Linked DNA regions of Mus musculus. The protein of the gene in region 1 interacts with the protein of each later gene in a pairwise test. Links are inferred from orthologs where the notes say so. Each region holds a gene or a part of one and is shown on either strand. Other genes may lie near its edges.

What was found.
Region 2: the proteins of Urod (region 1) and Lratd2 interact in binary tests that used the Homo sapiens proteins (3 or more experiments, as listed by UniProt). The two-hybrid records come from large-scale screens. The link is inferred for Mus musculus from reciprocal best matches to the Homo sapiens genes UROD and LRATD2.

The regions. Positions count from the first base shown.
Region 1 is NC_000070.6:116,992,089-116,995,996, reverse strand, and holds the start of Urod (uroporphyrinogen decarboxylase), read left to right. Parts: upstream 1-1,583; 5' UTR 1,584-1,646; coding exon 1,647-1,666; intron 1,667-2,299; coding exon 2,300-2,412; intron 2,413-2,529; coding exon 2,530-2,609; intron 2,610-2,686; coding exon 2,687-2,749; intron 2,750-2,973; coding exon 2,974-3,171; intron 3,172-3,271; coding exon 3,272-3,433; intron 3,434-3,908. Other genes in the region: E3 ubiquitin-protein ligase HECTD3, read right to left, coding at 1-50, 226-594. UniProt on the Homo sapiens protein: Catalyzes the sequential decarboxylation of the four acetate side chains of uroporphyrinogen to form coproporphyrinogen and participates in the fifth step in the heme biosynthetic pathway.
Region 2 is NC_000081.6:60,822,284-60,826,191, reverse strand, and holds the start of Lratd2 (protein LRATD2), read left to right. Parts: upstream 1-1,111; 5' UTR 1,112-1,678; exon of another isoform or gene 1,679-2,200; 5' UTR 2,201-2,296; coding exon 2,297-3,229; 3' UTR 3,230-3,908.

The DNA.
Region 1 (3,908 bases):
AGCCAGCCTTCGTCCAGACTACAGTCACTCAGGTGTTCGGCCAGCTGCTCCTGCAGGGACGAGTCAGATGGGGACAGAAATCAACTCAATTGCTCGCCCAGCCCAGCCCGGGGCAAAGAGCACGGAAAGCAATGCCAGCTCATTATGGGATAAGGGGGCGGAACAACCAGGGCTCTGGCTAGATCCAGGGGGTCTTTTGTGGGGTCCCTGCCATCCGGGGCGCACCTTGGTCAACTTCACCCAGAGCCCGTGGCCGTTGCACAGCTCCTCGCCAGTGGTGCGCACACAGGCGCCGCGCCGGAGCTCGATACTGTCACGGGCGGCGCGCAGGGGTCCAGAGCCTGTGCCCGGGGCAGCGCCCACGGCTCCCACACGCAGCCCCAGGCCCTCTGCTTCCCACACGGGCAGCAGCACGCGCGAGGGTCCCGCCGGGTCCTTGTACAGCTTGTAGAGCACTTCCCGCGGCACGAAAGCTAGCGCCGCAGGCAGTGGCAGCCCGGCCCGGAGGCTCCGCGCCGCCTCCGCCAGGAAGCGCACGCGACCCAGGAGCTGCCGCGGGGACTCAAGCGCCGCGCCGGGGCCAGGGCCGGCCATAGCGAAGCCGCTGAAGTGAGACTCGTCCAGGGAAACCCTGGCCGGCCGCAGCCAGGGGACAGCAAGCAGAGCTTCCCACCACACCCGGCCCCACCTCCCACCCTACCTTACCGTATGTTTTAGATTAAATGCACAACCTATTACCACCATAGTGTCAGGTGTTCCTATTTTGTAACCCGCCACCGAGTGCTACTATCCTTGTTCAGTCTTTATTCGACCCACTCTGATGATTTGGAGTCCTGTCTTTGTCTCCCCGTCCCCAACGAATATTACATTTGAAGAAATCTTTTTGTTGTTATTGTGTTGTTTTGTTTCTCTGTGTAGTCCTGGCTGTCCTGGAACTCACTACAGTCTGTAGATCAGGTTAGCCTCAAACTCAAAGATCCTCGCACCTCTACCATCCGACTGCTGGGATTGAAAGCGTGAGCCACCACACCAGGCTTGAGAAATCTTATAAAAATTGTTCAACTATCCTAGGGGGCGTGTGACTAAAATGTTTGGTAGAATGACCCCTTTTCCAGTCACTGATAGGAATGTACAATCGTTCTGGATAGATGCTATTTGTTGTTTCTAATTCCAGGAGACTAATAATCGTTGCCCACTTAAATGCGATTTTGGCTTCCTAGACGATTGCTAGAGCAGTTCCTGTCCTGCTCAGCACTCTTACCACTTCTACAAATTGGTTAGTAGTGTAAATGTAGAGCCTAAAATCTTCGGTTTCTATACAGCTAGACGACATTGTGAGACTCATGGACTGGAGTGAGAGCGAGGCTTGTACTAAGTCTTCTATACCACAGATGAGAAAAGTTTTAACATGTATTGGGAAGTCATTTCTTTGGGGCATTTGCTACTGCGTCGCAACAGTGGACTTTACGGTAAAAAATTGTTTGGGTCCTACGGGCAGCAGGGAGGGCAGCCCCACAGCTGTCACTGGATCGGTCACGTGGTTCTCAATATGGCGCCGCCCAGGGTTCTCTTCAGGAAGGGGCGGGGACTGGGGTGTCGGGGCGGAGCCTCAGATTAAAGCGGAGACCGCTCAGTTACTGTTTACCATGGAGGCGAACGGGTTCGGGTGAGTTTTCTGCTGCACGCGCTTGTGGCTACGTTACTTTCTGATCCGAGTCTTCCAATTCAGGGATATGTCCTTAAACTCTTATTTTTATTGGAGCTCTCCAAGTCTGAACCCAAGTCGCTGAGATTCCAAATCTTGCAGTCATGGAACAGAACCTTTCCCGCTCCCTGCCCCCCCCTCTTCCCGCAGTCTCCATTCCAGGGACTACCGTGCGGGACTGCGTCCCGAGACTTTCTTTCGAGGTGACTCAGAACTTCTAACTAGCACCTGGGACCATCAGCTTTGATCCTTTCTCGTTTTGGGGATCCCAGCTTCTCATGCTTGCCGCTCGGTTCCCCAAATTAACTCCTTTCCCCTAATCCCCTTACTGGATCTTCATTCCACTTCTCTAGTCCCTCCAGTTTCTTTGAGTTTGGGAAAGTGGACAAATGTGTAGGAAAGAGGCCCTAGTGGGGCCCTCCTCCTGGGAGCTTGTGCGCCACTTGATAGAGGGGAGGCGGTGGGCGGGGAGCCATGGTTTGCAAGCTGGTCTGGAGTAGGCAGATAACGGCCTGACTGGACCGGTGCCCTCCCCGAATCCCAGTCTAGCATAATGACATTTACTCCTACCTGTACCTTTCACCTGATCTCCAGACTCCAGAATTTCCCGGAGCTGAAGAATGACACGTTCCTGAGAGCAGCCTGGGGAGAGGAAACAGACTATACTCCCGTTTGGTGCATGAGACAGGCAGGCCGCTACTTACCAGGTCAGGGGCAAAGCTGTGGTCTAGATAAAACCTGAAATTCTAGATGGTGAAGATAGGAGAAGATAGTAACTTTGGAAGACCTTGTGGCTGAGTCCTGTCCTCCATCTCCCCTTGTAGAGTTTAGGGAAACCAGGGCTGCCCAGGACTTCTTCAGCACCTGCCGATCTCCCGAGGCTTGCTGTGAACTGACTCTACAGGTGAGGGCCCCACGAACCAGGGTGGGGTTCATGCCCCCAGTGTGTCTCCTTACTAACCTACTTGCTATTCCCTGCAGCCACTACGAAGGTTTCCTCTGGATGCTGCCATAATTTTCTCTGACATCCTTGTTGTACCCCAGGTACTCAATCCTGATCCTGGATTGTGGACTTTAAAAAAAGAGGGGAGAGGGAGGAAGGCACTCATTGGAAATCCTCTGTCTTGTCAGGTTTAAATACATAACGGGGAAGCGGCAAACGCTAGGGATGGAGTTTGCAGGAGGTTTTAGTCTTTTCTTTGTTGCATACGTTGAACAGAAACCTCTGAGTTCCAGGCTGTGTACCCATATATTTTATCCCCCTTAAGGCATTGGGCATGGAGGTGACCATGGTACCTGGCAAAGGACCCAGCTTTCCAGAGCCATTAAGAGAAGAGCGGGACTTAGAGCGTCTACGGGATCCAGCAGCAGCGGCTTCAGAGTTAGGCTATGTGTTCCAAGCCATCACCCTTACTCGACAACGGCTGGCCGGACGTGTGCCACTAATTGGCTTTGCTGGTGCTCCGGTAATGCGGCCAGGGGTGTGGATGGGAGCATGGAGAGGTCAGGCTCCTAGGTCTGGAATAGACAAGGGATCCTGTGTCTGCCGTCCTCATCTTTTTGTAGTGGACCCTAATGACATACATGGTTGAAGGCGGCAGTTCAAGCACCATGGCTCAGGCCAAACGATGGCTCTACCAAAGGCCACAGGCCAGTCACAAGCTGCTTGGCATACTCACTGATGTTCTGGTCCCATACCTAATAGGACAAGTGGCTGCTGGTGCTCAGGTGAGTCTTTAGGGACAAATAGGTAAATGGTTTCCCAAACTGGAGAAAGCAGGGATGTTACTTTTCCTCCAATGATCTGGTTAGAGTATCTAAGTGGTTTTCAACCTTCCTAATACTGTGACCCTTTAATACAGTTCCTCATGGTGTGGTGACCCCCAACTATAAAATGATTTTGTTGCTAATTCATAGCTGTACTTTTCCTACTGTTGTAAATTGTAATGTAAATATCTGGTATACAGGAGATCTGATATGCGACCCCTGAGAGAGGGTCATTCCACCCAGAAGGGGTTGTGACCCACAGGTTGAGAACCATGTAGATTCTTAGCCCTTCCTGAGACTGTCAGCAGGGCTTTAAGGTCTGAGGGTCTGGAGAAGGTAAAACTTTATTGTTATTATTATTTTTGATTCACCTGTTTCTGCCTCCCCAGTGCTCGGGTTAAAATCATGTGCACCACTGCCTGCCCCTCTCTCTTTC
Region 2 (3,908 bases), on another chromosome or scaffold:
AGCTTATACTGTGATCTTAGGCTTGCTGAAGGACTAACTTCCATCAGAGCCTTGACAATATTGATTGTTTTGGCTTAAAGGTACATAAGTAGATTGATTTTTGTTTCTGCTTTCAAACTAAAAAGGATCATAGTAGTGTTAGTATATTCCTGTTTCCACTGGTTGGTATGCACAGAATGAATAAATAATGTTACTTGGAAAAATTCAGTCGATGGAAAACAAGGTGCAGGTCTTGAATTGCACTGTTAACTGGCTAGGGTGCTTCCTAAGATTGTCTATTTCTGTTCTGACCCACTATTTAGAAGAAGGAGGGGAGAGGAGAAGGAGGAGGAAAGAAGAAGGAAGAGGAGGGGGAGGGGGAGAGGAGGGGTAGGAGGGGAGAGGAAGGGGAAGGGGAAGGAGGAGGAGGAGCAGTAGTAGCAGCAGCAACAAAAATCACTTTAGTAGTTTAGGTCTGGGGTAGAGAAATGACCCCAGCAGGGAAGAAAGTGTCCTCTTGAGGAGGTTAATAACCAACAAGGCTGTCACTTCCCTCAGGAGGAAGGAAATATATTCACCAGGAGTCTCTGCTAATTTGTTTTTAATTTAAGGACAATTAAGCAACTCTACACCCCCATCCCATTTCTGCATGCTTTCTCTCACAACTAGAAAAGAAATCTAAAACAAAGAAGGCTGTGAAGTTAATGTTGAGTTTACTTGGAGGGACACCTAACAGTCATTAGGGATTTGAGGAGCTAGTCAACTAAGTCCTGTATTATACTGCTTCCTCTTTCTGAATTATTATTATTATTATTATTTACTATCCAAAATTATTACTTGCTCTGGAAACAGGTTTTAGCTGATGTGTTTCTTGAACTGTTGCAGCACAGACTACTTTAGGTTATAAAAACGTTCTGATAAGAAAAGTCTGTCTCTCTTTCTTTAGATACTCCATCTAAGAAGAAATGGAAGGAGAAGAGGAAGAAAGACCAACATTTCACCACTTGCATTTCTATACTGGCAGGTGGCGTCTTGCTTCCAACTTCTCAGAACCCCAACTCAGCATAACAGAAAGGCAAGGGGGCTCAGGGCGGTAGAGGAAGCCTGCTCCCGTGGGAGGTACACTATTTACCAGCCCGATTTAAACCCGCTACGGAGGGGGCACGGTCCTGGAAGGGCGGAGCAGCCCTAGTGGGCGGGGCGGGGGCGGGGCTCCGAGGGACTAAGCTGGGTACAGGAAAGACCGGAGCTCTCAGAGCCACGTCTGTCTCTTTAAATGCCACGGGCTGCACTCCCGCCCGGGAGCCCCGAGCCGGATCTACAATCCCGTCCCTCCCGCTCCGGCGCTTGTTGCTCGCCTAGCCCGAGCGGGAGCTGCGGCCCCCGGGAAACCCAGCTAGCTCCTTCGGCTTCCCTCCTCGTGCCCCACCTTCCTGGAAATCTGCGTGAGGGGTCGTGCAGCAACGATCGTGAACAGGCATTGCCCCCCATCTTCAAGTCTTGGGGCTCTACACAACCGCGGGGGGCGGCGAGGGAGAAATGCGTCCTTCCCCGAAGCCCAGCTTCGCCTTGGTCTGCGCTGGGAGAGGAGGCACTGCGGAGCCCACACCTGCGAACTCGCCCTAGAAGTCTCGGGTGCGGCAGGGTGCCCCTCCCGGTCCCCTAGGGCTTCTACCTCTCGGGGAGAGAGTCCGCGCAGGTAATCTGAACCCCAGGGCAGGCGCGCGGGGGAGGGGCCGACGAGCCGCAGTGACTTGCGGCAGGTGAGTCTAGTCCGGAGGCTCACCTGCCACCTCCACGCCAAGGTAGCCTAGCAGGTTCTTGGGGGTGCAGACATTGAAGGACGTCAAAGGGCTAGTTAGGATCCGGAGTGGGAGGGGAAGTTAGGAAAGAGAAGGAAATTGGAATAAAGTTTCTATTTCCTTCCCTCCCCCACTCCTGCCCAGGGTTGGCAGGTAGGGCGCGGGCGGAAGCTGTCGGAGCTGCTGATGCAATGGCTTTGGCTGGGTCCAGGTGATAGCTGGAGGAAGGGGAAAGCTGGAGTGGCCATGTCTCCAGTGATCGTGACCTTAGTGGTGTAGAAACGCGAGGAAGCACGTCCCCCAGACTTCTCCTAAAATGGCTCCAGGTGCTCGGGCCCCTACCGGTTCTTTTTCAAGAAACAAACGTCTTTTTCTGGAGTGGCACCTACAAACATCTCCCTCGTCTTCTCTTCCAACAGGTGGCTTTAGCCCCTGCCCGGGCACCAGTGCCAATGACTCTGACGGTGGTTTCGCTTTCTCCTCTTGAAGTCTTGTGAACGAGAGTCCACAGCGTAATGGGCAACCAGGTGGAAAAACTGACCCACCTAAGTTATAAGGAAGTTCCCACGGCCGACCCGACCGGCGTGGATCGAGACGATGGGCCCCGCATCGGAGTCTCTTATATTTTCTCCAATGACGACGAGGATGTGGAACCTCAGCCACCGCCCCAGGGGCTTGATGGCGGAGCTTTGTCCGACTCCGGGGATCGGCCTCCCCTGCCCCCGCCGCAGCCCTACGACCCGCGGCAGCACGAGGTGGAATGCTCGGTGTTTTATCGTGATGAGTGCATCTATCAGAAAAGCTTCGCGCCAGGATCGGCGGCTCTGAGCACCTACACACCGGAGAACTTGCTCAACAAGTGCAGTCCGGGTGACCTGGTGGAGTTTGTATCGCAGGCTCAATACCCGCACTGGGCTGTCTACGTGGGCAATTTCCAGGTGGTGCATTTGCACCGGCTGGAGGTGAGCAACAGCTTCCTGACCGATGCGAGCCAGGGCCGGCGCGGCCGCGTGGTCAACGATCTGTATCGCTACAAGCCACTGAGCCCTAGCGCTGTAGTGCGCAACGCGCTGGCCCACGTGGGCGCCAAGGAGCGCGAGCTCAGCTGGCGCAACTCCGAGAGCTTTGCGGCCTGGTGCCGCTATGGCAAACGCGAGTTCAAGATCGGTGGCGAGCTGCGCATCGGCAAGCAGCCCTACCGTTTGCAGATTCAGCTCTCGGCTCAGCGCAGCCACACTCTCGAGTTCCAGAGCCTGGAGGACTTGATCATGGAGAAGCGGCGCAACGACCAGATCGGACGCGCGGCGGTGCTACAGGAGCTCGCCACGCACCTGCACCCGGCTGAGCCGGATGAGGGCGACAGCGACGCGACTCGGACTACACCGTCCCCCCTGCGTCCCCCAGCATCGGGCTCCGAGGAGGAGAACGGAGACTCGGTCGTGCACTGATACTTGAACTGGGCTCAGAGCTACAAAAGGAAGCTGTTTGCTGCAGCCACGCCCTCTTCCTCCCGCTCTTCTCCCCCCCCCAACACTTGGGCCCCATTTAGTATTCCTGGGCCTTTTGGAAAAAGCGGAGTTGGTGAAATGTACTGCAGGCTTTGGACAGGGGAGGAGGAAGGGGACTTAGGGAGCAGGTAGGATTGGCTGGTGGGTGGCCATGGGATGCTTTTTCTTCAGGCCCTCTCAGTCCACCTTCCTTTCCCAGGTGGGGTAAAGTGGGAACTTGCTTGCGGCTTCAACCCTATCAGATCTGGGACCAAATTTAACCCTTCGTATACAAGCAGGCTTGGGGGAAATCTCAGAGCACATTTGCCCTGCATTCTGTCTCTCTGGATCCCTCACTACACTCAGCTTGGAGGATGCAGGGTACAAAGGCCGGAGAGGATTGGGGAGGAGCCGCTTCGGGTCTGCTGGGAGAACTGCTTATCTGCTTCCCCCGCTGAGCTGTGCTTGGGATCCTAGAAGCTGGAGTGATTTATTTTTATGGGATTCCCGGGGCACAAGGCTGCTGAAACTACAAGATCTGGGATCAGCAGACCAAAACCAAACAGCCCCGTATTAAGTGCAGCAAATACTTTAGCAAACTCAGGCTACAGGCTACAAAAGGATTTCACTACCTCCCCCT